Linked DNA regions of Drosophila melanogaster. The protein of the gene in region 2 purifies or fractionates together with the protein of the main gene of each other region. This does not show direct contact. Each region holds a gene or a part of one and is shown on either strand. Other genes may lie near its edges.

Region 1 (9,793 bases), on a different chromosome or scaffold from region 2:
TCGTGACAGATAGCACTCGACACGCGCAATTGAAAAGATACTGAAATCGACTCGAAACAGATGAGCAGAATTTGTATTGCACGAGAGCTAGACGAATTATAAATATATATTCATATTATTCAGGCTCACCATAATATGGTACAACAAAAGCGATTGCCATACCCATAGACCCCCTGTACCCCTAGTTATACAAGATGTTGATAAGATTGGGGCGATGTGTGAATTATACTCATGAAATGAGAGGCAAAAAACTGCTAAAAGCTTTTTTTCTTTGCAGAACTGAGCACTGCGCAATCTAGAATCTGGGAAATTGTGGGGAAATGTGCAATTAGACAATTGGTGCCACTCAAATCGCGCACTTGATTTGGATTTTCTTGACTAAATCAACCGTTGATTCGAGCAACAAATTCCGTAGATGAAGATAGATTCATGATTATTTTTTGTGTTTTTTTGTTTCGGCCAGCCCGATCATTGATCGCAAACTTGAATGGTCCACCTTATTGCATATTAGCCTTGAATCTGGATTGCCGCATTTTCGTTCTGCAAATTCAGCTGTATTTCGAGAACTTTATTAGCCAATAAACTCGTGAATAAATAACTAAAACATAGGCTGCAGATACAAAACAAATCTGTTACCTAAAATCGAAAAGGTTTGTCTGATTAGATTAAACCAGTAGGTTTAAAGTGGTCAAAACAGATTAACCTTTTTATGGGCCATTCAATAAAAATGCAAAGTAAACTGGAAAATTTGACCTTGTTCCGGCTTTCGCTCATTGCAATAAAAAACGGCCAACAGGCGAATCGATGTAATTGCCGCTGCATGCGCTTGTGGGTGGGCTACTTCCATATATTATATATATATATATATGTACATCGCGTTTGGCGAAGACAATAGTTACCAAATAGATCCAATTACGGTTAAATAATAAAAAGCCCAACCTGACTCACTAGTAGCCAAAGTCGGAACAGCGACGAGCCGACGCGTTTCACGCGATAATTACCGCATCCAATAACTTAGAAGTGAAGTGGTGCAGTCACATCGACTTATGTATGTATGTATAATGCTTCGATATCACGTGAGTATTATAAATAATAAATAAACTTTTTTCGGATACTATAGTTTTTTTCAGTCTGTATTGCCACTCAGTTGGCAAAGCGCTTTAACTGCTCAAATGTTCTTAGCTCTCTCTTCTTTCGTTAAAAAAAAAAGAACAAAATAACATAACAGGTAAAATTTGTTTTCTAATTCAAACAAACGTAGGGCGTTCACTAAAGTCCCCCACAAAACGTAGGGTGAACTAGGCTTTGATTGGCAGTGGGCCAAAATGAAAAGTGAAAGTGGTGGCAGAGTGGCCAATTCACTTTCGGCCAGCAGTCGTGAAAGAGCGCCGCCAACTGCATTTGCCCCCATGGGATGGAACTTTAGAGTACAAGCATGACTCACGGATTCTGGGATCGAAACGATGCCTATTTCGGATTTGCATTTGCTTGGTCGTTTGCTCTTCTATCTTGAAATTCCATTCATATTCGTAGATTTCTTGCGCTCTATGACTAAGATTCCCTGGGAACTCCTCTTCACCTGGATTCCGGTCATCCCCCTCGTGCTTGTCAGGTCGAGTATATCTCAACAGCCAGTCAGCCGGGCGGGATTCCATTACTGAGATCCGCTGCTTACCTAATCCATGGTGAGATCCCTCCTCCGAATCCTCGGAGCCACCGAGGCGAGTGTCCCCGCTGAGGGTGAGGTAGCAGAGGGCGACGAGGAGCAGGAACAGTGCCCCACCTATCAGGCAGATCCTCCTGGCCACACCCCCCTTCCTGACCATGGGATGTGGTGGATGGGTGGGGGTGGTGTTGTTGCTGCAGCTGCGTGAATGGCTCTGGTGAGGCCGCCGCTCGATGTCCTCGTTATCCTCGTCGGATGTCTGCGACTCGAGTAGCCTGGCACTAGACATTTATTGAAATATTTTGGGATACGATGGTGTAGGCGCTTTCAGCTGGGGTGGTGGTGGTGGCGATGGTTGTGGTGTTGGTGGACGCGGTGGAGCTGCCACAACATTCCCCGTCCATTTGTGGTGAGCCGGGCGTACCTCCTGGTTTTCGCAATCTTATTATACAACTTTCTAGCTGCGACCGACCACCCGAAAATTATGCAAATTGCCTCGACATCTCTGCACTTTGGGTGCTCCCCGTGCTCCGATTTATTTCCGTGCGCGCTGGTTGCTATAAAAAACCATCCAATGGCGAACTTTTGGCCGCAGCAATGCCGCGAATTACGAGGCGGAAGCACTCAAAACAGGACGTCACACTCAAAAATCACAGAAAATATTGCTTATTTCTGACCGACACCCGCGCGACTGTCTCTCACTCTCACGCTCTATTTTATTGTTTTCCACAGCGATGCAATTTCCCGACGTGTTGTTGTCACCGAGAGTCTGACACTACTGAAAAAAAAACACTACTGAAAAATCGGGCAATTTTCGCTCCCACCACCAACACAGCTGGCGCAGTGTTGCATTCGGTTTTTGTCCCCACTAAGCCAAGTATCGATTGTTCGTCCAAGCCTAACGGCTTATTTTCAAATGTTTAAAATAAATGTTGAATTAATTAAAAATAGTTTCTTAATTAATCACTTTGTTTTTATATTGTCTCCCATTTACTTTCGTTCTTTAACTTTATGGCAAGAATCAACTTGGCAACTTTCGATATGCTGTCAAACATAATTTGGACAAATTTAAATCTTTTGATATTATTGATCGCAAGAAAGGTACCTTTTACCTTATTTTCATTTTCAAATAAGTTCATTTATTTATTAAATTTTTTAATAATGCCTAGTGATATTCTATAGTTCAATCACGGATTCAAGGAAATATATAATTTGTTTTTGAATTTCGTTGTCAATATACATATGTAAAAATATATTTTTTGACAGATAAAAAGAGCCTTCTCAAAATGGAAATTTTAAAATTAGCTTTAATCTGGTGGATTTTAATTATGAAATGGCCATTTTGATCACGCACTTGATATGCCTTTGGAGTATACAAATTTGTTGCCGTATCTTATCTAATCGGTAGTTACCCGGTTTTAATCGTTATTACTTAACCGTAACGACATTTGTCTGCTTGTTGGCTACTGATATTTGACTTGGCTTTCATTTCACAACTTTATGTGTCATTCCTAGATCCGACCTCACCCCAGGTTCCCCTTCAGAATTTTGCAAAACAATTTAATCGGTTACAAACGGCGAGTGTGTAATACATTTATTGTTTAGCGTATTCTCTTGGACAACTGGCTACAACTGCGTTTTCTAATGTTTTTCATACAAAAATGAACAATCTTTGTGTGATTTATTGATTTTGTTAACAAAGCAAATTTTACGTTTAAAAGCCACTTAGTTTCTCACGTTTGTTGCTGTTCCAACTGCTGCCACTGCTGACCTTCACCTTGCGAACTGCACTGCAGCTCTAAGGGATTCAAGGACAAGGCGGAGCAGGCGGAATGGAGCAAAACCCTGCACTTATGGAATTAATTAATTAACTAAATGTTATGAAGAAAACTCATAGGTGGATCAGGGGGACGGCCAGACGTCTATGCGCTGCCCACTTAGATATTGGCCTTGATGACATCCTCCAGACGCTTGGCGTTGGCTCCGGCGAACTCTTCGACCTTGACGCCGTTCTTGAGGAACACGAAGGTGGGCATGCTGGAGATGTTGTATTCCATTGCAATGTCTTCGCATTCGTCCACATCGACCTGTAGGAGAAGGGCATTTAGTAAGGATTTCCATAAAAAGTGTTAAGCAAATAAAATAAAGCTGAGCACATTTTTAGATTTACCTTCAGGACGACGACGTTGTCGGCGAACTGCGTGGAAAGCTCAACCAGTTTGGGCGAGATCATCTTGCAGGGTCCGCACCAAGTGGCGAAGAAATCCAGCACCACCAGCTTGCCGGATGCCTTGGTCAGCTGTCCATCGAGATCGGCCTGCAAATGAAAATGTAAATTAGTACTATCTCTGAGTAATATCATCATACATTAGCGCTAATAATTTCCCACTCCCTAGAGATGTTTCAGTAATTTTCCCTTTAGCAGGTGGTGGTCATGTTTTCAAACTTTATGATTTCCGATTGTGGAGCATTGATCCGGTGCTATTGTAAATATACATATTGCGTTGGGGAGGCCCCGCTACTATCTCGCCCGATAAGCCTGTTCCCTGCAAACACAACGTTGTCAGACATCCCCAAAGTTGCCAAGCTGTAATCAGCCCCAATAATCGCCGATTGACGGGTTAAATATGTGTGTGTGCTTCATAAACTTGTGAAATCGGGTCAATTTCATTTCAGTTTCTGTATTGCACCCATTGGGCAGCAAAGCAAATCAATATTTAAAGAATTTCCAAATTATATGTATGTATGCCGAAAGGTGTGGCGGTCGTGGGCAGTTCCATCCCCTTTCTTCCACCCATTTCTCTGCCCGTGACACGTTTTCCCAATGACCTTTAATTAATTGCTAGCGATGCCAATCGCAGAACAGCACATGCAAGCACAGAGCTCTAATGAAATTGACGATTTCAATTGGAATGGGCAACCGGTTTGGAGGAATTTGCATAAGTATATGCCCAAGAAATTTAACTTTATACACGCTATTTTTGCTAGCACAAAACCACTTGATCATCCCTATTACATATTTTAATCAGGCTTAGATCATTTCTATTGCAGACACATACGTCATGGAATGATTAATCTCAAGATGGTGATGGTACTCGATGACTGTTGGCTACAATTCAATTTGTCAACATGTATTGCTGACTCATTTTTTAAGACAATATCTGAGTAAACATAAAAAACTAAAATCAGTAGTTAAACTACTTTGTTATATTGTCTAATTCAGTATGCATAAATGTTTTGATGTTTTCGTGGATTCCTTATGCCTTCGATAAGCATTTTTTGATTTTTGAGCTTATTGTTGTGTGGTTTGCTGTATAGAACTAGACCGCGAGAGTCAATGTTTGATAGTGTTTAAGTGTGTATACAAATATAAATAAACTAATATTGAGAAATAAAATAAGAAGGCATGCTTTCACGTATTTACTTCCCAATATTTCCTGACGTAACTTTGTATTCATGAAATGGAACCGGTTCTTCACCCCGCGCACTCGCGTCTTTTGTTTTCTTGGCTTTGGATCAACTTGCATGGCGCGCAACTTATGTGTGGAGAGCACACCCTGTGCTATAGCAACTATTCGAAATATTTCTAACCAAAAAACCAGGCCTCGACCACGATAATGAATTGCAAATTCATGCCAGTCGCACACACATCCGTACATATGTGGTTTCTATAGTACGTATATCTTGTTCGCACTATTTCCGATTAGCTCGGTCCGGAATATTTCAATTTCAAAATTCGGTTTCCGTTGAGACCCGTTTTGCGGTCCACGGGATGATATCATTATCATTTCGCTGTGCTGCTATTCGGAACTTTCTCGTTTGCTCTCCGCTTTCTCGCTCGTCTAGACCGAACGTGAGTTCCTTCTATTCGCGGGAGAGCGTATGGCAAAAAGCGTAGCGAATCCAATCATTCAAAGTAAGTGGCTAATTGGAATGCCGCTTCCAATGCCATATTTTCAAAGTCCGGAGCGAAAAAATAAACGTGTAACTGGAACTGAGGGGTCAAAGGGTAGCGCTATCGAGTTACCCAATAGATGACGGATGTGATGCGTCCATAGATCCGGTTGAAGTGACTCACCTTATCTTTCACCTGGTACACCATGTTGGATGGGAGATGTGGAGACGGAACCGGTAGAAATGTACAAAAGTTACTTAATTACCACTCGGGCAGCTCTTTGCAGCACAGCTAAATTTTTTACCAAAATGAGCACGTCGCAGTTGCTTTTATAGATTTTTTACTCACGCTCACGCTTCTCATTGCTATACGCTCTCTTTTTGCATATGTGTATGTCGCGTTTGGTGAAGGTGAATTTCGAATGGATAGACCGATTGGCACATCTATGCGATAGGTTTTGCTGGCCACTATGCGATTACTTTAAATGTGAAATCCTCTTGCTGAAGATAGCGATTATAACTTGTAGTACTATTCTCTTTAGTCTGGTTATGTCTGTGTGTCTGTGTCTGTGTGTCATTGTGAGTTTATCGTAAAGCAACTCTGCAGTAGTTCAGTTTCTTACCGGTAGGAGGCTTTTTAAAAAAAAACTGCAAGCCATGTAAGCGGTACAAAATTTGGGTCTTGGCAGCCAATTTGTTTTTCTTTAAATGTTTCCGCCAATTATAAAACATCATTCGTATTAAAGTATATCTTACTATCTATCGATTTTAAACTACAAATCATTAAATGCGTCCTAAAATTACTACAGTTATGGTTAAGTGAGCACCTGCTTGTCTACATTACATGGTTTTTACCATTACATTTTACATGGTTCTTACCAACAATTTTTTTACAGCGCGACATCTATCTCTGATTTCAAGAACCGCACCATCATGACCGCTGAAAATTAGCTATGTTTGAATTGGTCGCGCAATAAGAAATTATATTTACGCACTTAAATTAAATACATTTACTTTTACAAATCAACACTTTTCATAATTTATTTGCCGAGAAAAACAATTGGTAAACCGTTTAACACTACACGTACAGATGGAAATTAAGATTTCACCACTATTTTAAACACTATGTTACTATGCTTAGCTATCGACTATGAGTAATCCTCCGGTGTCCGGATTGGTTAAGTACTATTCAATGGGTGACCGATGGGGCTAGGCCTGTAGCTGCTGCTGGGTGGTGCAAGTGGTGGTGATGGTGATGGTGGTACGTCAGCGTGGGCGGTGGTGGTGGAGGCGGTGGATGGCCAGGGGGCGCGGCCACTGTCGGCGCAGTGGATCCTCCGGCAGTGGCAAATCCACCTGCTACCGCCATTTGTTGCTCGTAGCTGGTGTAGTGATCGTAGTAGCCGCCGTATCCGACTTCCAGGCCATTTCCGGTTGCAGTATTTCCTGGTGCCGTAGTAGTTCCTGTGTCGAAATAGCTGACTCCATTATAGCCACTACTGCTCTCGTAGTAGTGATGTCCCGCTGTCTGATTTCCACCGAACTGTTGGTGGCTCTGCTGCTGCTGGTGGTGGTGCTGTTGCATTTCGTACTCCGCCTTGGGGCTATAGTAGTAATCGTAGTTGTCCTCCACATACGGCTGCGTCTCCACGGTGGCATTGTACTTAATGGTGGGTCCCGGTTCGGCCTTGCAGCTGATCTCCTCCTGACCACCGCCACCACCCAAATGCTTGATCTGCGAGTAGTTGATGAACTCCGGTTCCGGAGTGGCCAGTTGCGGGCTGGAATCATAGGCTACTGCCTGGCATTGTGTGTGTCCGTGCACGGGAACACCCATCGCAAAGCTGTTCCCGCTGGAGGATTGCTGGTATGCGGCCAGTTCCGAAATGCTGCAGGCGTAGGGCAAACTGGGAGATTTACTAGGTGCCGCGGTGGCCGCCGCTGGAGTTGCATGGTAGATGGGATAGTTATAGGTGATGTGCTGGTGGTTGACCGTAAACACATTAGCTGCCGTCTCGCAGGGTGCCGATGACTCGGATCCACTTAGTGGCCAAGAATTGGTGCCGTAATTCGAGGATTGTGACAACTGATGGCTCCTCGCCGTGGTGCTGTCATCCAGGTAGCTGCAAGTGCAGTGGCTATAACCGGCGCACTTGCCACAGGCTAATGGGGGATACAAATTGTAAAAGAAATCTTTAAATATTCTTGTTTTATATACCTACCATTATACTGATATATATCCAATGCGGTGTGAGCCAGAGGATTGCTGACAGCAGGACGCTTAAGAACCTTGCTAATCAGACTGTGTTGTTGCTGTCGTCAGAGAAGAATGGTTAAGATGATACATCCCGGGTGAATGAATGTCTATCTAAGCTCACCTTCGCCTGCTTGACCAGACCCGCAATGACCGACTTCTTGGCGACTGATCCGTTGGCTGACTTTCCAGCCAGCGGCACACGTCCAAAGGCCCGCTTGGAAACACTGGAGTTCTTCGGATCCGGACGCAGGTGATCATGCACTCCCTTGGCCTGAAAAAAGATGGCATTGCCGGAGTGCCGCCAGAAGTGGGTCACCGGATAGCCGCAGTGACCGCGACACGGTTTAATCTCTAGTCTACCGCCACGACAACTTTTGTTGGGACACGCCTTGCCCTCCTGCTTCCGCCGGGCTTTGTCGCAAATGGCTGGGCGCAGGTTGATCTTGGATCCGTTGGGCAGGGTGCAGTGTTGGGAGCAGACCAGGACGCCCAGGCAGCTCTTCTTCAGAATGTTCACGTTGTGGTTGTTCGTGTTGCGCATGGCCCAGCCGGAAATGTGCTTCTTGGCCTCCTCGTTGTGCAGCGAATAGATGTGCCTCACATGCCCGTCGCTCCACTCGTTGAACTCGTCGAACTCCTGGTCCGGCACATGTGGCACAATGGCATCATTGATGTCCCACTCCCGTTTTCCCTTGCCCGTCGACGACGACGGCATGGTCATGGAGCCACCCGCCTGCTGTTGACCAGGACTTGGACCCGGATGCACCGAATGCGTACTCTGACTTTGGGGCTGGACAAACTGGGTAAGCTGAGAATGATCGGGTTGCTGTGTGAGAAGTTGCTGCGTCTTGAAGCTGTAGCCATTTCTGTAGAGGATTTTATATATAATAAGTTGCATTTTATATTCATAGTTAAGAATACTATATTATTATATTTGAATTTTGCCAAAGAGCACAAAACATACTTTAACTTGAGTTCAGATTTTTATATCACTTCTAGTAGCCACATAATAAAAAAACACCACTGCCCTTTTGGAATCTAAGTTAAGGCAAAACTGTGAGTCACAGCATTAACTTTTAAATCGAATTTATTTACATTAAAACTCTTTACATCGAGTAAAAACTTTAAGTGATCCATTTAACTGTGACTTTATCGCCAAAGCCTAAGCATCGTTTAAGGAATTGAAATCCTATCTTAATTGCGCCCTAAACTGTTTCGTAGGGGGCCATCCCAACCCAACACAAACCAATCAAATGAAACGTTTGCCAGGTTTATGGGCCTCATGAAACGCATGGTTATTTAGGCCCAGTTTAGAGGGCTGGTACCGTTAGCCCCAAATCTTGTGCACCAGGTAATCCAAGCTGGCCACAATCGTAATTCGAGCGCCAGTTGAGGAGGCGGAGATGCATATTAAACCGACACTCCGATCGTGAGTCAGCTGGGAATCGCTAGACTCGATGGAGGGCCTCAGCCGAGATTCTCCATGTGTGGGAGTTATTAGAGAGCGAGCTCTGCAATTAGCAATAAATTTGTCTTCCATCGATTTCGAAGCCGATGGATCGATTCGCCTCGGTCCCCTGAGTGTTTTTATGTGTACTTGGAAGTCAGCAGGTTGCACAGCATCTAGCACCAAGAACCACACACCAAATACCTGTGCTACGGTTCGCCTGGTGGTCTTTGGTTTCCCCCGATTGAACCTGTTCGTGGCTAGTGGCTCGCTTTGTTTTGGGTCCGTAAATTGACTGCTCGACACTTCGGGGCGCTCGTTAGTTGGGCTTATCTGATGCTGATAGCGTCTCACTTCGTTCGAGATCTGTATTTTTGGGCCTCCTCTGTCCAGGGCTCATAATAAGTTTGTCACCTAGAAAATATGTCTCTATAAATCGAAGGGGCCGGGGGGGCATCATCATCATCATCGGCTCTTTGACCCTTTCACTCGAGCGCCGCTCCGCCTACGACTGTGTGTGGTCCGCCGG
Region 2 (7,544 bases):
CGTAGATCCCGCTTGTTATTAGCTTGTGTTCCGAGTGTTTCTCATTCTGGACCTGTAGGAATAGATGTGTGATGAGAAGTTTACAAGCTATTTAGTTAGTTTTAATTAATAATAGTGTGATAATTCCTTAAGTGCAATAATATTTATATGTCCATGTATTAACAAATCATCACGACTAACCAAGTGAGTGAAGCTCCGGCCAGCTGTGATGATGGCTGCCTTGCGAACCATCTCGCCCAGCAGGCACAGGACCACGCCCGCCACCCAAATGTATCCGTATCTCTTGAACTGCGGCAGGTAGTACACCTCTAGTGAGAACTCGATCCAACTGGCTGCCGCCGCCAGTCCATAGTGCACAGAGTGGTTCAGCATAAAGGAGTCGAGACTGAGAGTGCGCGGATTGGCAAAGGCGATAACGAGGAACTCCGAGTAGTGGAAAAGGGACATGAAGCATCCGTAGGCGCCAAATTGCTGCCACTCGGTGGGAGCAAAGCAGATGACCAGCACACTCACGGCCATGGCAAAGCCCAGGAAGGATGCCCTAATGGCCACCTGTGGTGCAAGAATAGTTAGCGCCATAGCACTGATAAGGTTTATCGCGTCTCATCGATTGACTCACCTGGTAGTCGTGGTTCCGCAGCACAAACCGTATGATCATGTTAATAAGGGCGTAGTACAAAAATGGACCCCAGAGGACGGCGCCCCACACCTGTGGCACCACTCCATAAAGATTCTGGGGCACCGAGGGAATCAGGACTAGAGCTGCAGTAATCAGAAAGCAATATAAACTGATGCGGCCTTCGGAACACAGGCTGGTGCCACCGGCCCCAGGAGAAGCCACTCGGCTCTTTGCACACATAACTGGGGAATCGGGATTCTTTTTGTGCTGCTGCTGTGCGCAAAAACACGGAAATTGAGGTTTTTTAAAACATTTGCTTGGTTTAATGCGCCAAAATGTAAATAAACCGGCAAAGCTTTCGATAACGATAGGCAGCACAGTGAATAACCGCTAAAGTATAGGCTCGTGATTATCATAGAAATCAGTAATATAATTCTTACAGCTTTTAATAAAATAAATCATAAATCATAAATTAAATTAAATAAATAAATATTTAACACCACGTTTAGCAGAAAATGGTTTTAAAAATAAATTATGCGGGCAATTCTCTTTAGCCTATACCCCCTGTAACAATAAGCGATAGTTATGCACTGTTACATATCGACATATCGAGTTCTGAGGATTTAATTTAATTTTATATAGTCAGAAAAAATTTAATAGTAACTTAAATGAATTACATTTGTAGGTATTCACCTATACCTTTTTAAATAAATTTCTTAACTGCACGCCTTGCATCGATATTTTATCGATAACATGCTCATTTTAGCGCCGTGCAGGTTATGTAAAATAACAAGTAGAGTCGTTGAGATCAATTAAAAATATATAAAAACTCGACCGATATTCTGTTAATATCAAGCCATGGTCTTCCTGAACCTTCCCTTGCTGGTACGGTCCCGTGGTCCGGACGAATTCTGGCGGAAGAGACGCATCTTCAAGCTGGCAGCGGTATGTTTCCGAATATCGTGGCCACAATAAAAATAATGAGCTCTTAGTGCTTAATTTCTGCAGCATTATAGAAGCCGCACTCGCAATGTCTACTCCTTCGCCATCCGGAGTGTCCATAGGGCACTGGCCTATGCCACCAAGGGGCGAAAGCTAAAGAAACTGGACATGGCGCAACTGTGGAGCACACGCGTGGAGGCGGGTTGTCAGCAGTATGGAGTAGGTCTGGAAACCTTCAAAGAGGGCCTCGCGCGCTCCGATATTCTGCTCAACAAGTGGGTACCACCGGAAAATTCCCATATCCTTTAACAACCTATAACATCTTTCAGAAAAGTCCTATCCGACCTCGCCATTTGGGAGCCGCGATCTTTTGAAGCTCTAGTAAAGATCTCTCGAGAGCGGGCAGCTGTGGAGGGAATGCCAGACATCAAACGGAGATCGGCATTTAACCAGGTCTATGGACTGAGCAACCTGAAGTTGGATTAACATAGCCTTAAGTAGGAGTTCAAATATAGATATTTGTATGTTTTAAACGTGTAATCTTTAATTTTCACTTTGAAGGGAGTAAAATCGTTTGGGATTTGTTCTTTAGATTAGTTTTTAACTCCGAATTCGTATTTACATTTAGTTACATAATTCGTAACTTCTGCTTGCTGAATGAAATTTGATACTAAATCATTAATTTATTTACTGCAACTACCTTTTCCGCGAATGAATCCAATATTTTTTCGAGTAAAATGACAAATGTGATTAATGACAAAACACCTGTGCTGCTAGTTTTAACAAGTAACTCGAAATTTATTCAATGACGGTCCATGCGCAATGCAAACAAAAATATTGCATGAGCTTTTATTGTAGTTTTTAGTTTCGGGTTTGTGGGTGTGTTACATACTAATAAAAAGCATAGAATTCATAGAATTGTGAGACAGTGTCCGGAGGCGAGATCTACTCCAATTTGGCCAGGATGTCGGACTCGCGGAAGAGGAACAGCTCCTTCTGGTCACCCTCTAGGTTCACCTTGGTGCCACCGAATTCGGGCAGCAGAACACGATCGCCCTCCTTCACGCCAATGGGAATGTGGTTGCCAGTGGACTGCGGATGAAGTGGGATGTTCAGTGATTAGATGACCATCTCTGCATTGATAATGGCGAAATACTCACGGCATTACGGGTGCCAGGGCCTACGGCCAGAACGGTGCCCTCAAGTACTTTGCCCACCGCTTTCTCCGGCAAAACAATGCCTCCTTTCGTCTTGGTCAGCGCCTCGGCACGCTGGATTAGGATGCGGTCCAGCATGGGGATGATCTTCTTGATAGCGGCGGCCTGAGGATCATTAAAAAAGACCCAACAATTAACCCATGTTTCAATGTTTCATGTTTCTCTCATTGATTACACAACAGCCCGGCGAATGGGATGTGGACCGAAAGCCGTGGAACCTTCTCGAAAAACCGATATCATCCTTCGATTTCAAACTGTCTTCTAAACCTCATATGGGGCAATGCACTTTTAACTTACCATTTTAATTCTTAAATGCAAACTGGAGCGGTTGATAAAAGTTAATGAGTGAACTTTTTACTCAACTACACGTGCCGGCGTAACTATTCTCGCTAGATGCGGGACTGCTTATCGTCGGTGTGACCAGGCTATTTCACGGATATAACATTGAGAAATAATTTTTTCTGTTCGAATACACTGAGAGAAGTCAATGCAAAAATTAATAGTTGTGTATAACTTTTAAAATGGTAATAAACTTTTCGCCAAGTAATTGCCGAGTTGATTTCCTATAAAACATGAAGATGAAAATGAGTCTGGTGGGTGGACTTCCATAATAACTTGTATACCAATTTCAGGAATTACTCCTTTTATATGCAATTTAAACATATTAATTTAATTTCCATTAATTTATAATAAACATGTTGTGCAATTTTCTGTTCTCATCTTTGTTGAGCTAAATAATCGTTTTTTAAGAAATTAAATCAGAAGCCCAGAAATCTTCTGGGCTTTACTGGTGTTTTAATTTTTTCAAATTTACTAATATTAAAATATAATATAATATAAAATAAACATAAAACAGAATTGTTTGTTTACTTCCTCGAAATTAGGTATGTTCAAACCAAGGAGTTGCTATTGATACTAGCGATTTAAATCGATTGACTCTGGCAGCGGATTGTTCACACTACACCCTGTTGCAAAGTGCAAGACAATAAAGACAAGCAACAAAATAATTGAAAAGTGTGGCATTCCTGAGAAAAATTAAAAAATTTCAGAATTTTCTAAACATCTTGTTTTTAAGAAGGGAAAATAGCACGAAACAACTATCGATAGCTGCTGACACTCCCACCACTAAATCTGATTGGGAGATTTATTTGAGTCACCGTTTTGCCTTGTTTACATTTAATGTAATTTGTACCAGATAAATCTTATTTGATTTTACTCAAGTCAAGTGGCACGATGTGCTTTTGTTGTTCACTTAGTTTACAGTTTGTGACTGCTATTTTCGTTTAGTTATATTCGCCAATAAGCCAGCAATTAACCCACTAAAATGTCTGATCGTCGTGGCACAAAAGTTGGAACTGGTACGAAGGCTTTGGAGTATTGGTGCCGAGTTGTGACCCAAGGATATAATGGGGTCAAGGTGGAGAACATGACCACTTCCTGGCGAAATGGACTTGCCTTCTGCGCCATAATACACCACTTTCGGCCGGATCTTATAGATTTCGACCGACTTAAAGCAGACGATATCTATGAGAACAACGATTTGGCCTTTACAACGGCCGAGAAATATTTGGGAATTCCCGCACTGCTCGATGCAGCTGACATGGTTTCGTATGAAGTACCTGATAGACTCTCCATACTAACGTATTTATCCCAGTTTTACAAGGTGCTCGGCAAGAGCCTGAAGCACCCGAAGCCAGAGGAGCCACTTGGCGAAGAGAGTGAGCCACCGCAAAAGGTGATGCACATTGTTGGGATGCCTCGACGTGATAAGTGCCAGAAATGCAACCTTCCTGTTTTTCTCGCCGAAAGGGTCCTTGTCGGCAAACGGGCTTATCATCGCACATGCTTAAAATGTGCAAGATGTTCGTCATTGCTCACACCCGGGAGTTTTTATGAAACGGAGGTCAATAACATATACTGTTGCGAGACTTGTCCCGATGAAGAAAGTGAACCGGAATCTGACATTTTAAAGTTAAAGACAACCACTACTGATTCTCCGAATGATAAACAAATGGTGGCACAAAGTTCTGATTACTCTGAAGCTGAAGATAAACAAGAAGACCTGGAAGATAATGATATACGTACTACTGATAAGCCTGAAAACTTCCAACCGCCGTCCAACAAAGATGAACAAAATAATGAACTAACTATTAATCCGGTAAACCCTATATTATCAGAGGAGCGTAAAATCTCTTTTATTCCACTAGACGAAGAAGATGGTGGCCTTATTGAACAATATAATAAATCAACAACTCCTGTAAAGCCCGCTATACCAGAGAAACCAAAAGTCTCTACTCTTCCACTAGACGATGAACAACATGCTGGCGTTGAACAAAACAATGATCTGGCGGTTAGTCCGGAAAATGACATTCCAAAAGAGAAACTTAAGATTTCTTCGGTCTCAATATATCTTGAAGATGACCGCCTTGTTGTAGATGCAATACATCCGGATAATTTAGATAAACAAGAAGCTTTGAACAATACATCAGACGCACTCATTCCAGAATCACAGGAAGCACCGATTCCTGAAAATAACACTCAAGTAGCCATTAAACCAGAAGACCATATAAGCCCGCGTAAAGAAAATAAAATTTTCTCAAACACAGAAAGCTGCTCTAAGCAGGAAGGTGTTCTCCCAAAACAAATGGATCTCGAGTCTCCCAAGGACAAGGTAATTGAGACAAAAGCATCTGAAACTGACTATCCAGAGGATCTAAATCCCTTTAAAGATGATGACTCATCTAAAGGTGCCAACCCATTCGACAGCTCTGATGATGAAGTGGAGCTTCTTAAAGCCATTCCAGCCCAACAAAGCAAAGGAAAAGTTGTACCGCCCCGTCCACCGCCACCTAAAATTGGCCTTTCATCCATCTCCAATCCGTCAGAGAAACCACATTCCAGCCCTACACTTTCGCATGGGAAAAAAATGCCGATGCCAACACCGAGAATATCTATATCAAAAACCCAGACTCCAGCAAAACCAATGACGCATCAAGGCCAGAAAAGTAGTATTTCCTCTTCGTCTTCGGAGCATTTGAATAGCATAAGAACGTTCGATCGCGGAGCAGATGACCGTGGCTCAAGCATCTCCTTGCCATCTGCAAATGGGCCTCGCAAGCCACTTCGCGCCTCAGTGGGGAGTCCGCTGCGAAGCGAAGAATCGAGTCCCACTACCAGTCTTAGCTCTATTACCTCTCCGATGCGGAAGAAGCGCCAGGCACCTTTGCCCCCAATACAAACGGACTTTGACAGTGATCCTGGATTTTCAAAATTGTCCGACGAACAAAAGGCATTGTTGCACACTCAGCTTAAGGCCCCAAATCTGGGTGATTCAACCAGAAGACTAATACCACTTGACCAGAGTCTGCTATCCGATGAGGCAACCGAGTCGAGTAATTACGACGAGAGCTTAAGTACATCCAATGCCGACGAGGAGGTAAATGTGGTATACCGACGCATTTTGGTGCCGCCAACTCAACCCGAAAACACTGTTGAACGTAGCAAGGAGGATCAAAAATCGCCTATCGTGTATAACGACTTCGATAGAAACGTAAGCCCATTGGGGCACAATAAATCCACTCATGGGAAATGGAAGAGGCGAAAGGGACCAGCACCAGCGGTTCCAATACCACCGCGCAAAGTCTTACAAAGGCTTCCGCTGCAAGAAATTCGCCACGAGTTCGAAATTATTGCGGTACAGCAGCTGGGTCTTGAGAAACAAGGCGTTATTCTGGAGAAAATGATCAGGGATCGCTGTGAGCGTTCCTTAGATGCCACCGATACTGATGGTCCCGAATCCGCAGAAGTGCTAACCAACTCAAAGGAAGTGGAAGATCTTATATTGCAACTGTTCGAGCTGGTCAACGAGAAAAACGAATTGTTCCGCAGACAAGCGGAACTGATGTACCTTCGACGTCAGCATCGCCTGGAGCAGGAGCAGGCGGACATAGAGCATGAGATACGAGTATTAATGGGGCAACCGGAGCACAACAAAACCGATTCGGATAAAGCCCATGAGGAAGTATTAATCAATCGCCTTGTGAAGGTGGTTGAAATGCGTAACGAAGTAATTGATAGCCTAGAGACTGACCGAGTTCGCGAGGCGCGAGAGGATATGAGCATCAAGAATCGGCTTCATATATACAATTCTGAGCGCGAGGAACCACCAGCACATCCGAGAAGCGCTGACAAATCATCCAAAAAGCTGTCTAAAAAGGAACGAAAAAAACTTAAGGAGGAAAATAAGCTGGGCAAGGGCAAAAAGTCGGACCTCGACAAGGACGTCGATGAGTCCGAACAGGCACCAGCTTTGGAAAAGGTTAAAAAGAAGCGAAACTTGTTCTTTTTGAAAATGTAGTTGGGGGCTGGTTGAGTTGAAGTGTTTACGCATCGAACAATTGAAATTTATTTTATATAAATTTGTAACCTATTAAGTTTCTATTGCCATATGTGAGCATTTCAATAAATAAAGTATATATTTTCCTTTAGCAACAGAACTTTGGATTGAGAACGACGAATGCGAATCATATTACTATATAACTCTGGGATAATAATTTTTAAAATAAAACAGAAGCGAATTAATCAGTTACAAATTCTAAATCTTAACCTTAAAAAACACAAAGCTCCCACACATTTTAATTATTACTTCGGTTCTGTGATATATTATTATTATGTTTAGTTAGTGGAGCTAGTATGTTTTTGCGTAGAGCTATCGATAAGAATCGTTGAATGGTTAATGTCAGGCGCTGGAAATTATAACATCCCTA
Region 3 (7,195 bases), on a different chromosome or scaffold from region 2:
ACCAGCGATTTCTGGCGCATGATCTGGGAACAGCAGTCGCGGGTGATCATCCAGGCGACGGATCTCAGTGAGAACGGAATTGAGAGGTGCGCCGAGTACCTGCCACCGTCGGCGACTCTGGACAATCATAGCAGCTATGGCGATTACCAGGTGACCCTCAAGCATCGCGAAGTCAAGGATCGCTATGCCATTTCCACATTGGTTCTGAAGCGAGTGGATGGCGAGGAGAGCCGTGAGCTCACCCACTACTGGTACAAATGGCCTGAGGCGGGTGTACCGGCCGAGGAGGCGCCCATCATCGCCATGCTGCTGGAAGCGCGATCCTCGCTGAAGTCCTACTCCCTTGAGCAGGCCAACGAGCTGCGCGAGAAGTCCGCGACCCTGGAGACGTCAATGGATGCGGACGGCAGCAAAGCCGAGGCGGGCAGCACGTCCAGCCACGAGATTAATGGAAACATCTCAAGTCGAAGCGGAACACGAAGTCAGCAGGGGTAGGTTGACATAATCTCCATCCATTCATATCAAAGCAGTTGTTGTGTGTTGCATGGCTTTTTAATGTTCTGTGTCTTAACTTCTTCATCTCTCCCCCTGCAGACCGCTAACCGTTCACTGTTCTCCAGGCACGGGACGAACCGGTACCATTATAGCGTCGGACATGGCCATCCGCAGTCTGGAAACACCGAAGCGGTCCGTGGACATCCCCCAACTGGTTTACTACGTGCGACGCGGACGTGCCAGCGCCGTACAGACCAAGGAGCAGTATGAATTTATCTACAAGGTGGCCAGCATGTATGCGGCCAAGATCACAAATCTGTCCAATGACAACTGAAAGCCAGATGGCAGTGTTAGCGGCAGAGCCCATCGAGTGGAAACCGAATTTGCGATTGAGTTCACCTTTCACCCTTACAGCACTGATCAATGGGACCCTTTGTAATAATAGTAGCTATGTTTTATACGAAATATTAGTGTAAATTAGTATTATGCTTGAATGTTGGCACCTAATTAAGCGTAGGCTTCGTTGTATGTCGGGCTTTAAATATCATTTAAATTGTATGTATTCCTTTATTATTGTGATATAATCGTACATTCGTATATCTCCTGATAATCTGTTGCATATTTATAATGTCAATTTTTGTTTTTGCACTGTCACGCGCTTCGGGGCCATATAATCCGGAGCAAATGATCATTATTTGGAGCTCTCCTTGTTTTAAGAAAGTCAAATATGTAATCAAACAATGTGTGTATCTATTTTAAATGAGCTTTAATGTACGTAAGTTATTTTTAAGTCCGAGCTGTACTATACTCATATTATTGTAAATTACAAGAAAAAATATGTCCAGCAGTGGTTTTTGAAGTTTTAAATTTCGCGGGCTTCGCATTTAAGTGAGACCTTTTTTGATTGGGTTTTAACTATGAACCGATACTACTGCACTTCTGATCTTTCTCTTATTTACATAAAATTTCTTTTGGTTACTAATTTTTTCAAAGTTAAAAAAAAAAAACAAGTTTTAATCTCTTAATTTCGTTGAAAACTATTTGAGTTGTTATATTTATTTGGTTTTATGTGTGCAGTGGGAACAAGTTAAATTATTGTAGATCTCTGGTCACACTAAACCGCGAGTGTTTTTTGATACTGGCTTTCGATAAGATGAAGTTAACTTATATTTTGTTAATCTGCGCTTTTGTGGCCGCCTCCGCTGCCAGCGATCCGAAAGTGAAGATTGGCATTAAGAAGCGGGTGGAGAACTGCACCCGGAAGGCCAAGGGCGGCGATCTCGTCCACGTGCACTACAGAGTAAGGGAAATCAGATAAGGAAGATCTCTAGCCGACCTAACCCCGAATTTGGAATCATTCTAGGGAGCACTGCAGGATGGAACAGAGTTCGATAGCAGCTACTCCCGCGGCACTCCCTTCTCCTTTACCCTGGGAGCTCGGCAGGTGATCAAGGGCTGGGATCAGGGAATCCTTGGTATGTGTGAGGGTGAGCAGCGAAAGCTGACGATTCCGCCTGAGCTGGGATACGGAGCCAGTGGAGCGGGTGGCGGAAAGATTCCCCCCAATGCGGTGCTCGTCTTCGATACGGAGTTGGTAAAAATCGAACCGCGCTCTGGATCTGAAGAGCTGTAAAGCGAATAGGGCCACAAATAGGCATTCCATGCTACACCCAAAGTTTACTTTCAACTAAAGTCATAAACATTTAATGCTCAAATATTTAAAGTAGTAATTTGTCTTGTTTCTGAAGTGATGCCACGCCACGACCAATAAATAATAATGTCATTCCTTTTATACTAGACCAAATTGTATTTATTGCAAGAGCCCCTTACTTTTGGCGTCTCAGCCACGCTTCCACCTCGTCGAAGTGACGCCGCATCAACCGATGCTTCTCCAGCGTGCTGCTCTGGATGAAGCGCTCGCCACAGGTGCCGCACACGAAAGGACATTCGCCGGTGTGCTGCTGGAGATGAAGCTTCAGGTCCTTGGCCTGACGGTAACTCTTCTCGCAGTAGGTGCATTTGTGCGGCTTTAGGCCGCTGTGCGTAAGCATATGGCGCTTGAGCTTATCGGAGCGGGCAAAGTCCTTGCCACAGACGGTGCAGTGGAATGGCTTCTCGCCGGTGTGCATCCGGCGGTGCGAGGCCAGCTCTGAGTGGCGGGGAAAGGCCATTTCGCACAGATCGCACTTGAAGGGCTTCTCGCCAGTGTGGCGTCGCATATGGGTCACAAGAGCGGCGGCTGATCTCGTCTCCATTCCGCACAGGGAGCAGAGGAAGCGCTTAATTGCCTCCTTGCGCTTGCGGTCGCCGTTAATGTGCACATCGCGAATATGATTGTTCAGGCGCGACTTCATCTGGTACGTGCGATCGCAGTGTGGACACTGTAGCAGCGGTATTCCGTCCTCAGTGGCATCCTTTTCCAGGTCACCGGTCCCTTGCGTGTGTCTGTCGCCAGTCGGATTGCTGACGGAAGACTTGCTGTGTTGCAGGAGAATGTGCTGCTCTAGGTTCTCTGGCCACATAAACTTGTAGGAACACTTGCCACATGCATGCTTCTTTTCTGTACTACTACACTGACCTTGCCGGTGGTGGTCCATAATGCTCTGAAGCAATAATGAAATTGACATAATGTATCTATACTGGTTAAATGTAGAATACACATTTAAAACCTCACCTTGGAGACACATTTAAAGATGCAGTCGTCGCATTCGTGTGGCATTTTGTCAAAGCGATGCATCGTCCGCTGATGCTGGATCATTTCGAACTTCCGCTTGCACTGCACGCTGCACAGCTCGCAAATATATACGGGGCGACTGCCCACACCGGGCTGCATCTCGTCTTCGGTTTCCGAATCCTCCAGCTGCAGCTCAAAGCCAGATTCGTTTGTTATTGAATAATTATGCGGGGAGTCGTAGCTCTGGTGTAGCGACAGGGATAGCTTAAGCTCCAACTGGATATGGGCTCGCAGATCAACAATACGCTCGAAATGCAGATTGCACATGCGGCAAGTAATGCGCTTCGCTCCGTTTGGCCGCGAGGTGGCAGCAATCAATGTTTCTGCCAAGGGAATGTCATGCTCTTTCAAACCGTGTCGCTTCAAGTGTTTTACCAAGTAGTCGTGCCGATAGAATTTGCGACTGCACCACTGGCAGGGAATCAGCTTGGATTCCTCCGCATGTACGCTAAGCAGGTGAACGGTGAGGGATTTCTTTTTATCAAAGACCCGTTTGCACTCGGAACATTCAAACGTTTGATTCTGTAAAATTCATAGATGCAATGGGTCTGTAGCCTGAACAATTCTTAGATTAACTTACTGTAATCCTGTGTTCGCGGAAGTGTGTTTTCAGGTTGTGTTTCCAGCGAAAGCGTAGCGGGCATTTGTGGCAGAGAAATCGCTTTTGTGCATTCCTACACTGCGACTCGTTGTGGTGGCGCAGCAGCTGCAGACTTACAAAACGTCCATCACATCGCCCGCAGACGTGAGGAGCGTCTGACCAACTGTGACTTTGTCGCTGATGGTCATAAAGCTGATATTTTCGCGGGAACTTTTGCTGGCACAGCTCGCAGCTGTAGGTGGCTTTGCGCGACTTCTTTCGCCTCTTGTGCTGGTCATCGTGATCTCCGTCCAGGTCGCTGTCCGTCTCCGAGCTGTCCAGATCCATTTCGTAGCCACTTTGGTTCGTTATCGAATAGAAACGCTGATAGATACCCGCCGCTAGATCCTTGCGAATCAAGTTGATTAACTGCTCCTCACTGAGGTCCTTTGAATCGGGATAAAACAGCTCTGCCAGCTCATGGGGCTCCATATTTGGCCGACCGCACAGGCTAACAATATCGGGGTGCTCCTCCAAATGCCGGCGCAGATCAGCAATCTTGTTGTATTGGCTCTGACAGATCATGCACTCAATCAGCTTGTAGCCATGCGGTTTGCAGAGATTCAAATCCACAGCCTTGGCCTTCTTGTGCTCGCTAATGTTGGCCGATCGTTTTGAATTCCGGTGAATTTTTAGGTGTGCTTCGAGGGCTTCGCTGCGGCTGAACTTGCGAATGCAAAGGGAGCAGTCATATAATCGAGTTTCTGGCTTATGGACGCGCATTTCATGGCGTTTCAAGAAGTCGAATCGTTTAAAACTCCTAGGGCAGTCGTGACATTTATATACAGACTTTCTTCCTGTTTTCCACTTTTGAATGCGATTATACAGTGGCAAATTATCCAGGGAGCTGCAAGATTAGTTAGTTAAAATAAAGTAGTTGGGAAATTCCAATTGTCACCCACTCTTCGTCTTCAAAGTCCGATGTGGGATCGTCATACGCTGGCTTCTCCACGCTTCTGGGTTCCATTTCCAGCTTCACCGTTTCAATCATGGTCAGTGGGTCCACCGACTTTTTGCTCTCCATGTCCGTTTCGTCCGGTTCCGGTAGTTCGGAACAAGTGATAGTAACATCATTTTCGCCACAGTCCTCATCCTCAGTCTCCAGCTTGACTTCCACATGCTGCTCAGCACACAGCTCCATCGGCGCCTCCTGCAGACAGTCGGTTGACGTTGGAGCAGCACCGTTCTTTAGATGCTTCATTAGAAGTTCGTTGGCGGCCATCGCCTGCTTCACATAGCAATAGGCACCCATTAATTTTTTGGTGCATCCACTGCACAAGCATTGCGGAAATTTCTGACTACCAGTTGCATCCAGCTGAAAGGTAAATGTTTCATTTTAGTTTGCATTTTTCGTAGATTTCGCTTCTTAGAACTTTGTTTACATTGATTTCGGTTAGCTCGCATAAAATCTCCGAAAGCAACTTGTCCGGATACTTTTTCGAGGGCGTGGCCAGCTTCAGAAGGTTGTCGGTGTCCGTGGAGTCGCACGTGCGACAAATCACCGGCAGCTTCATGGCGAACAAATTTGTTTTGGCCAATTGAAAGCTTTTTTAATTTTAAATCAACAATCAGAAAATCAACATTATTGATGGTATGACCTTGATGCGAGAGATGGAAAATACCGTTCGGTCATTAAAAAAATACCACGTTGTTAAAAAATACAGCAATTAATTGGGTGCGTTCAGCAGAGTCCGCTAATTATTTTCAAAGGGAAATATTACACAAATATTTTTAAAATAAACTGAAGAAATTGTTAAATTATGAAAAATATAAATCAATATCCACCAGACAAACAATTAATACAAATATTACAGAACCATTAGAAACTGTGATTAAAAAATCACGACTTAAAATTTACTGCTGACGGTGACCAATTGTTGAATGTGAAATCAATAGTGCACTTTTATTACAATAAATCTACAATAGAGCGACGATAATTTGTTATTTAATCTAAATTGGAGCTTAAATTAGTTTGTGGCGTGTGCACGTTTAGCATACGCGAAATCCGGCAAACCGAAACAGAGCCTCGACCCGATTAGATCCAATCCTCTAGTATTTCTTGATCGTTTTCCGTATGAGGGCAAGGCGCTGTTTGTGCGCCTCCGTGACAGCTGCCCGCTTGTAGGGACGCAGTTCGTCCGTACCGAAGCCGGGTATCCACATGTTGTACTTCCGCTCAAAGTGCAGCTGCACGTCGCGCACCTCGATCTTGTTAGACTTTCGGTGCTTGGCGAAGGCGCTCGTCGACTTGACGGTGTCCTCGACAAAGTCGTCGATGATCTGAAGCAGAAGCTCCTCAACATCCTCGTCCAGCTGCGTGGTGGTATCCACCTCTCGGACGAGCTCTGTGAGACGCGGTTTGGTAAGCATCTGTAATTCGGAAGAGAGTTAAACTAGACCCTGGCGTATTCCGTGTGCACTCCATAAGGCACGCATCTTACGGGAGTGTTCTCGGAACCGGCGGCGGATGATGTGTGATTGGATGACTTGCTACCACCAGATATGGGGCCCGTTCCCGTACCCAAACCGGAAACCGGTCCGCCGTTCTGCGAGGATGAGTTGCTGTTGTTGGTCATCGGACTGTGCTGGGAGGGCGAGGCCATGGGTGGGTCGTGGAGCAGTCCGCTGGCGGACGATGTGGAGTTGTGGTTGTGGTGCAGGTGGTGCTCGGCGACGCCGTTGCTATCGAAAGTGGTAAAGAGATCCGACATTGCTTTTGGGTTTCTTCAGAGTCAAATCAAGTGGGTGGTAGGTCGGTTGGTTGGAAGTGTTTGGGGAAAGTACAGTAAGTTGGGCGGATTTTTGGGGAGTGGGTAAGAGTGCAGAACCAAAGCCAAAAGCGTTAGTGTACTTGTTGTTGTTGCTGCTTATGTTGTGTGTCCTCCTGCTTTCTCAACTGCAGTCGGTGATTGTGTGTGCGTGGGTGTTTGGTTGCAAAGCGAAATGTAAGTAAAAGAATAGAGTGGTCAATTTCACGCGTGCGGTCTTAAGAATCCGTCGCTTTGTGTGTTTACTAAAACTAAAGTGTTACTTAGCAGTTGCTCTTAGCGCATGCAACACTTACAATTATTGCGGTTTTAACACTTTGATCTTAAACTATTACTTTCCTAAATTACTAAACAAAATAAAAATAAGCGGAGCAACTACAGCCAAATCAACAGTATGGCCAGTTGCAGGCGACTCTGAAATGCCCGCTGGTGCTATAAAGCAATTTGGTATATTTACGTTTAATTTCAGTATATTTTAGTTAGACAGCCACACTGGCGTGGAGTTCAAAACAAAACAAAGACGGCGTATTTTGCAAATATCACGTAGATAAGGAATAT
Region 4 (5,897 bases), on a different chromosome or scaffold from region 2:
CCTACTGGCACACTTTGGAAATCAACACCAGCGGCCGCTATGTCAGCGGCGATGTCAAGCACTTTGAGAATGGAACCATCCTGAGTGCCAGCACCTCGGAATGGGCCATTAAACAGCAGTTGTACAAGACCAACGACACATCTGCGTTTGTAAATCTCGGCAGAGTGCTCGCACAGCGCTGCCTGCAGTCTGGGATCACGGAAATGACCTGCAACGTGGAGGCGGTACCGGGTAGCAAGCTGCAGAAGCTGCTTCAAACCATTCAGGATAATGGGGTGTCCTTCAAGGAACCCTCTCGCCTGCCCAACGAGCAGCCCTGGGATGAGAAGAGGCATGAGAAGCCCTGGGAGGTGTCGGAAGACGCACTGGAAGCACCCAAATCAAAATAACCAAAAGAAACCACACTTAGTTATCGTTTCGTTTAGAATAAACGTTGATTATTATTGCTAATTACAACAAATCATGTTAATTTATTCGTATTTGCCCTTGATGTCCTTCCAGAGTTTCTGCAAAGCGGGGAAATCTTGAGATTTGGCCAGGAAACTTTGCTTACATAACAGGATTATACTTACGCCTTTGTTGATGCCCTCGAAAATCGCAACCGACGTGACATCGAGAGCGCGCTCGAAGAAAAAGGCCGACGCGATGATGGCCACGGCGTAGGTGGAGGTGCGCTTGAACAGGGTGTTGTAGATAACCTTCATGTTGGCTAGATTTTTGTTAAAGACGTCCGATTTGTTCCCAATCAAACTTTTTCCACACGCCAAACTCACAGCTGATTTGTTAGGTTGAGTTGACAAGCAGTGTTGGAAACGTCCTGAATCTAAATACTAGTGTCACTCCGCCTATCGAAATTACGCATTAGTGCTTATTCTTGAAAAGTGTTTTTAATTGAGGTCGAAGGTGTTTTTTGTTGTCTTTGAAGCGGTCACACTGGTCGATGGGGCAAAAACAAACGATTTGTGAATATGCCAAATTACCAGGATATTTAGCGTAATTGGGCCTTATCTGCGTGGACCATGGACATAGGCACTATTGAGCTGAGCGTGGAGGCGCTGATAGGATCCCTGCTGGCCCTCAGTATCCTCTTTGCCTTCTGCCGCAGCCTGCTTTCCGAGGACTTTGTGAGCACCTTCAAAACACGTCACAGCTGGAAATCAATAAAAGTGTTGGAACAGGTGAGCGGATTCACTTGCCGCGAAAGAGATACCATAGGATACATGCCCTTCATTCTAGGCCTGCTTCTGCAATGTGTGCGAGATCCTGCTAACCCCCTCCGCAGGACTCTTTTGCGACTGCTGCGGCCTGTGCACCCATGCCACGCCCCCTTGCCAGCGGAGGGCGGACAGGGAGTACCGGTGCAAGGACAAGTGGTTGCGCAACGAGTCCTCCGTGCGGCACTTGTGGGTGCATGGCAATCTGCCTATGGGAGTGCATTGTGCCGACTGCAACGAGGAGGTGGATCACCATGTCAGCACCGATCCAGGATTATACGGATGGCGATGTGCATGGTGTCAGCGGTGCTATCATAACGATTGCTACACTCGCGCTGACTCCATGGAAGCCTGCGACTTGGGCGAGTTCAAGGACATGATCTTCCCGCCATACAGCTTTGTGGCCGCCCGAACCAGAGACTCGATGCGGCTCCACTTGGCCAGCATTACGCCGCCAGACATTGAGAACTGGGAGCCGCTTATTGTGATCGCCAACACCAAGTCGGGCAGCAGTACGGGTGCCAATGTGTTGTCCCTGCTCCGCGGTTACCTGCATCCGCTGCAGGTGATGGAACTGGGCTCGAGGGGTCCGCAGGACGCCCTGCAGTGGGCCGCCAAAGCCAGTCCTCGCCCGTGTCGCATACTGGTGGCGGGCGGCGATGGCACCATCGGTTGGGTGCTCAATACAATCTATACGCTGAATATCAAGCCCCAGCCCTCGGTGGCCATCATGCCGCTGGGCACCGGCAACGATTTGTCGCGAGTTCTGGGCTGGGGAGCAGAGCCGCCCTCTGTTCTCGACCCGGTGAAGATCCTTAGGAGCATACGGCGAGCACGTTCCGTGAATCTCGACCGCTTTGACCTGCAAATAGAGAAACTGCACTATCGACTGCCTATTCAGAGGCATCCCACGAAGACGATTCATGTGTACAACTATTTCAGTGTAGGTGTGGATGCGTACATCACTTACAACTTCCACAAGACGCGCGAATCTCGATTCTATCTGCTCAGCAGTCGAATATTCAATAAGGTAGGCTACAATCTAGTGTGCTTACTTAACGTTAACTAATGTATCCATCTCGTCAGCTGCTGTACTTTACCTTCGGAACGCAACAGGTGATGCAACCTGGCTGCGAACACATCGAGGAAAAGCTGACCTTGTATCTGGACAACAAGCCAGTGCAACTGCCTGAGCTGCAGGCGCTGGTGTTCCTAAATATCGACTCATGGGGAGCTGGCTGCAAGCTCTGCGAGCTAAGCAACGCCAATGGTGAAGTGCGCATTGTAAACTCCATCTCCGATGGTATGATGGAGGTGTTCGGCATTGTTTCCTCTTTCCACATTGCCCAACTGCAGTGCAATATAAGCAAACCAGTGCGAATTGGCCAAGCCAAGCAAATAAGGGTAAGCCCTGCAGTGATGGAACCGAATATTTGTTAACCAACAATCTTTTTTTTAGCTACAAGTCAAGGAGACCGTGCCAATGCAGGCGGATGGCGAACCCTGGATGCAGAGTCCAGCGGATATTCGCCTCTCCTCGCGTAGTCAGGCCCGCGTCCTCAAGCTGGCTGCAACCTGAACATTAATAGCTAATACAGAATAGAATCCCTTATGTGCCAGTCCCTAATCTCAAAGTACTTAACCTGGAACCTCAATGTATACTTAATCGAATTCGGTTAGCAAGGCAAGTAAAGACACCCACACCACCTAGTGGAAAACCGAAACTAGTCGAAAAATACACGCAATCGTATTTGATTTGAAATAAATCCATTTTTATTAAGACGCAATCTTTTGAAATATAATTAAATGTTCGACTGGTGTAACATGCTGCCCCTTGAGGGGCATGCACAACATTTGGGTCAGTATTATCGAAAGGCGGGTAAACAACAAAATCAGGAGTGCAGCTAACGCTGAAGCCCGCTCTAAAGCATAGTAAGCTCCATGATGGCGTTGACGATGTCATTGTTGTTGTTCTTCAGAGCCTTGATCGCCTTGGCCCTCGTCGTGTTGGCCTGCGTGATGACCAGCTCGATATCCTTCTCATCCACGCCGGTGTCATCGACATCCTCCTCGTCTTCCTCGGCAATGGGGGCCACCGATGTGGTGGCGCCCACGCTGTCTGCAGCGCCAGCAGCCTCCGGGGCCTTGAACTTCTCGGCGGCAGCCACCTGGGCCTGTTGCGACAGATCCTCGATCTTGGCCTCACCGAACACGATGTAGGTGTCGCTGTGGGGGTTCTTGTACACATCTGGGTTGTTGATCACGAACAGGATGTTCTTCGACTTCCTGATCGTCACCCGGTTGACGCCCTGGATCTGCTTAAGTCCCAGCTTCAGCATGATCTTCCTGGCCTTTTTCTCGCCGCGCGATTGCTTGGCCTTTGAGACGAGGTCGATGGGCAGACCGGTGGCACCTCCACCCAGCTGTGTGGTGGCCGCTACAGCCTCCTCCAGACCAGGCATGCCACCATCGGAGTCGCTATCACTGCCATCATCCTCAACGCGGACGTCCTCGGGTTTCGCCTCAGCGGAGGTGGAGGGCGCAGCCTCGCTCTTGATTTCGGTCAGTTCGGGCATTTTAATCTGTGGGGAAGCAAGTGGAGAACACGAGGTTAGGTAATTGCTTTGCAAATAGTATCAATTATGCTAAGGGAAAACATCTGGTGCCGGTTCAAAGGCTCAGCGATGTGTCTCAGCGGGGGTCAGTTGGTATTGATTTTTCAAGTTCAATTGGAAAATCAATAATTCGCTACCCCCGTAGATCTAACTCTTAACTATGATATTTTACATAATTTAAGGCGCTAATTCACTGATATTTCGGCAAAAGTTAAATTGAAGTCGAAAAATGCGGAGTACACACACCTACCGGAAACGAAGAAAAGAAATATGGCGGAGGGGAGTGTGACTGTCGCTTAGCACGATTTTTCTTAAATCCAAGCGATATATTCTGTCAGTGTGAACGTATGCGTATGAAGTATGACAAATTCAAACTTTGTGGCTACTCTATTTCATAATTACGTTACTTTCAAAAAAATGACAGTTTCAAAATACATTTTTAATCTTTCACCTCTATAGTAAAGCACTATGACTAAAAATTTATAATTTAATTTGACTATCAAGGCTTGCTGAAATAATCGAACTATAAACAATTATGGGAGTAGCTTAAAAAGCAATAATATCCCAAGAAACTAGTTCTTTTTCGTAATTATTCAAAGCAAGTGTTAAATATTTTTTCAAAGGTGTAGTTCACTGTTTGGGTCACCTTTGCTTGCAATCTTCTACTAACGTAATATTTTAGTTTTTGATAATGCAGTTATAATTTTACATAAAAGAAAAACATTAAAAACAAATTGATAACACCGCAACATTTTAAGTGGCTTACTCAAAGGGAAGGAAAGGAACATCACAGATTAGGCTCAGTGGCATGATTAATTTCTGCAGTGACTAGCAATAACTGCACTGCTTAAATAGTAAAATTAAACGAATGAATGGTTTCACAATCGAATGTTTGACGGCTTTTCTTCCCCACCCAGTCTGTCACTTGAAGATGACGATCTTCAGTTTGCCAGTGCATTCTACAAACGCTTCTCGAAGTGCTCCTTCACGTGCAGACGCCTGGAGGAGTATTTAATTAATTGAACATGCCTGATAAGGCGAGTGCCTCCACACTCGGTGCATGATTTCACTTACAAATTTGACTCCGCTGACTTTGTTAGAGGAAGTTCACCGAGAAAAATTTGATACCAGTTTATTGTCATTTATACTAGTATTTGTAAAGGTAACTTGGATATTCGATATAAGTTTTTACATGAACTTAAGAAATTGATAATATTAGTTAAATTTTAATTAGGTTATTTGCATATACTCTGGTCTTTCGAAAACAATACAACATAAAAAATTAGGTCATGTTTCGGGATAAGTTTATTTGGCCAAGTTGAAATATCTTAAATCTTTTTTATAATTACTTTAATTAAATTTTCTTGTGTATCAACCATCTTTAGACACGTCTGGTTCGAAAGACAAAGTCCAGAGCTACTTTGTGGTAGGTTGGATGGGCGATTAGATCAAAGGAGACACACGCCAGATGACTGATCCCCTATCGCCATTAGATAACGTTCCGTTTGAGTGGCCACTCCTGGAGCTAATAAAAAGCACGACTGTGAAGGGACTCCTCACAGTGAACGCTGTAACGTTCAAGACACCAAACCTCCGAAATGAAACTACCAATCCTTCTGATAACCCTTGTGGCCATGGTGGCGGCCAAGTCCGCACCTGGTCGCATGGCCGCCCGGTACGACCACTTCCGTATCTATCAGCTGACCATTGAGACGAACTTGCAGATGGAGGAGCTTAAGAAGATTCACGAACACATCTCTGTAAGTACATACAAATTCCATTCCATTTCTGAAAATCATATATGTATGTCTTGACTTGATCCAATTTAAAGGTGCACTTCCTCAACGAACTGGGTGCTGTTGGAAACAAATACAATGTGATCGTTGGTCCCTTGTTCCACAGAGCCCTCGAGAAGACCCTTAAATTCCTCGAAATTGTTTACGAAGTGATTGTCGACGATCTGCAGAAGTGAGTACTAGATTCTCAGATGAGTTATAACATTACAAAAATCTACACTTGAATCCTCGCAGATTGATAGATGAATCCTCTGTTGGCGACGATTCCCAGA

Evidence for each region.
Region 1: the proteins of CG11267 (region 2) and Trx2 purify together in Drosophila melanogaster (affinity purification with mass spectrometry, with the first as the bait; one large-scale study listed by BioGRID). This does not show direct contact.
Region 3: the proteins of CG11267 (region 2) and CG14715 purify together in Drosophila melanogaster (affinity purification with mass spectrometry, with the first as the bait; one large-scale study listed by BioGRID). This does not show direct contact.
Region 4: the proteins of CG11267 (region 2) and Nacalpha purify together in Drosophila melanogaster (affinity purification with mass spectrometry, with the first as the bait; one large-scale study listed by BioGRID). This does not show direct contact.

Annotation. Positions count from the first base shown.
Region 1 is NT_033779.5:9,609,492-9,619,284, reverse strand, and holds Trx2 (thioredoxin 2), read right to left. Parts: upstream 6,120-9,793; 5' UTR 5,910-6,119; intron 5,872-5,909; exon of another isoform or gene 5,853-5,871; 5' UTR 5,769-5,852; coding exon 5,745-5,768; intron 3,984-5,744; coding exon 3,837-3,983; intron 3,754-3,836; coding exon 3,604-3,753; 3' UTR 2,881-3,603; downstream 1-2,880. Other genes in the region: GlcAT-S (glucuronyltransferase S), read right to left, coding at 1,445-1,955; gcm2, read right to left, coding at 6,750-7,723, 7,783-7,873, 7,939-8,683. UniProt on the Drosophila melanogaster protein: Participates in various redox reactions through the reversible oxidation of its active center dithiol to a disulfide and catalyzes dithiol-disulfide exchange reactions. As a reducing substrate of peroxiredoxin 1, thioredoxin 2 is preferred over thioredoxin 1.
Region 2 is NT_037436.4:13,011,696-13,019,239, reverse strand, and holds CG11267 (uncharacterized protein), read right to left. Parts: upstream 3,191-7,544; 5' UTR 3,079-3,190; coding exon 3,076-3,078; intron 2,884-3,075; coding exon 2,722-2,883; intron 2,654-2,721; coding exon 2,507-2,653; 3' UTR 2,337-2,506; downstream 1-2,336. Other genes in the region: Icmt (isoprenylcysteine carboxyl methyltransferase), read right to left, coding at 1-52, 181-552, 620-859; mRpL20 (mitochondrial ribosomal protein L20), read left to right, coding at 1,478-1,564, 1,628-1,836, 1,891-2,047; MICAL-like, read left to right, coding at 4,103-7,135.
Region 3 is NT_033777.3:11,672,634-11,679,828, forward strand, and holds CG14715 (uncharacterized protein), read left to right. Parts: upstream 1-1,587; 5' UTR 1,588-1,648; coding exon 1,649-1,795; intron 1,796-1,858; coding exon 1,859-2,128; 3' UTR 2,129-2,290; downstream 2,291-7,195. Other genes in the region: CG42327 (uncharacterized protein), read left to right, coding at 1-491, 595-829; CG18476 (uncharacterized protein), read right to left, coding at 2,322-3,098, 3,170-3,751, 3,810-4,716, 4,772-5,184, 5,252-5,383; Taf12 (TBP-associated factor 12), read right to left, coding at 5,919-6,239, 6,311-6,580.
Region 4 is NT_033778.4:12,756,726-12,762,622, forward strand, and holds Nacalpha (nascent polypeptide associated complex protein alpha subunit), read right to left. Parts: upstream 4,275-5,897; 5' UTR 4,080-4,274; exon of another isoform or gene 4,076-4,079; intron 4,068-4,075; exon of another isoform or gene 4,002-4,067; intron 3,800-4,001; exon of another isoform or gene 3,797-3,799; 5' UTR 3,791-3,796; coding exon 3,137-3,790; 3' UTR 2,968-3,136; downstream 1-2,967. Other genes in the region: mRpL18 (mitochondrial ribosomal protein L18), read left to right, coding at 1-389; ox (oxen), read right to left, coding at 471-506, 573-704; Dgkepsilon (diacyl glycerol kinase epsilon), read left to right, coding at 1,020-1,178, 1,237-2,244, 2,301-2,618, 2,674-2,793; CG12374 (uncharacterized protein), read left to right, coding at 5,428-5,589, 5,661-5,797, 5,860-5,897. UniProt on the Drosophila melanogaster protein: May promote appropriate targeting of ribosome-nascent polypeptide complexes. Required for correct localization of the osk/oskar protein to the posterior pole during embryonic development.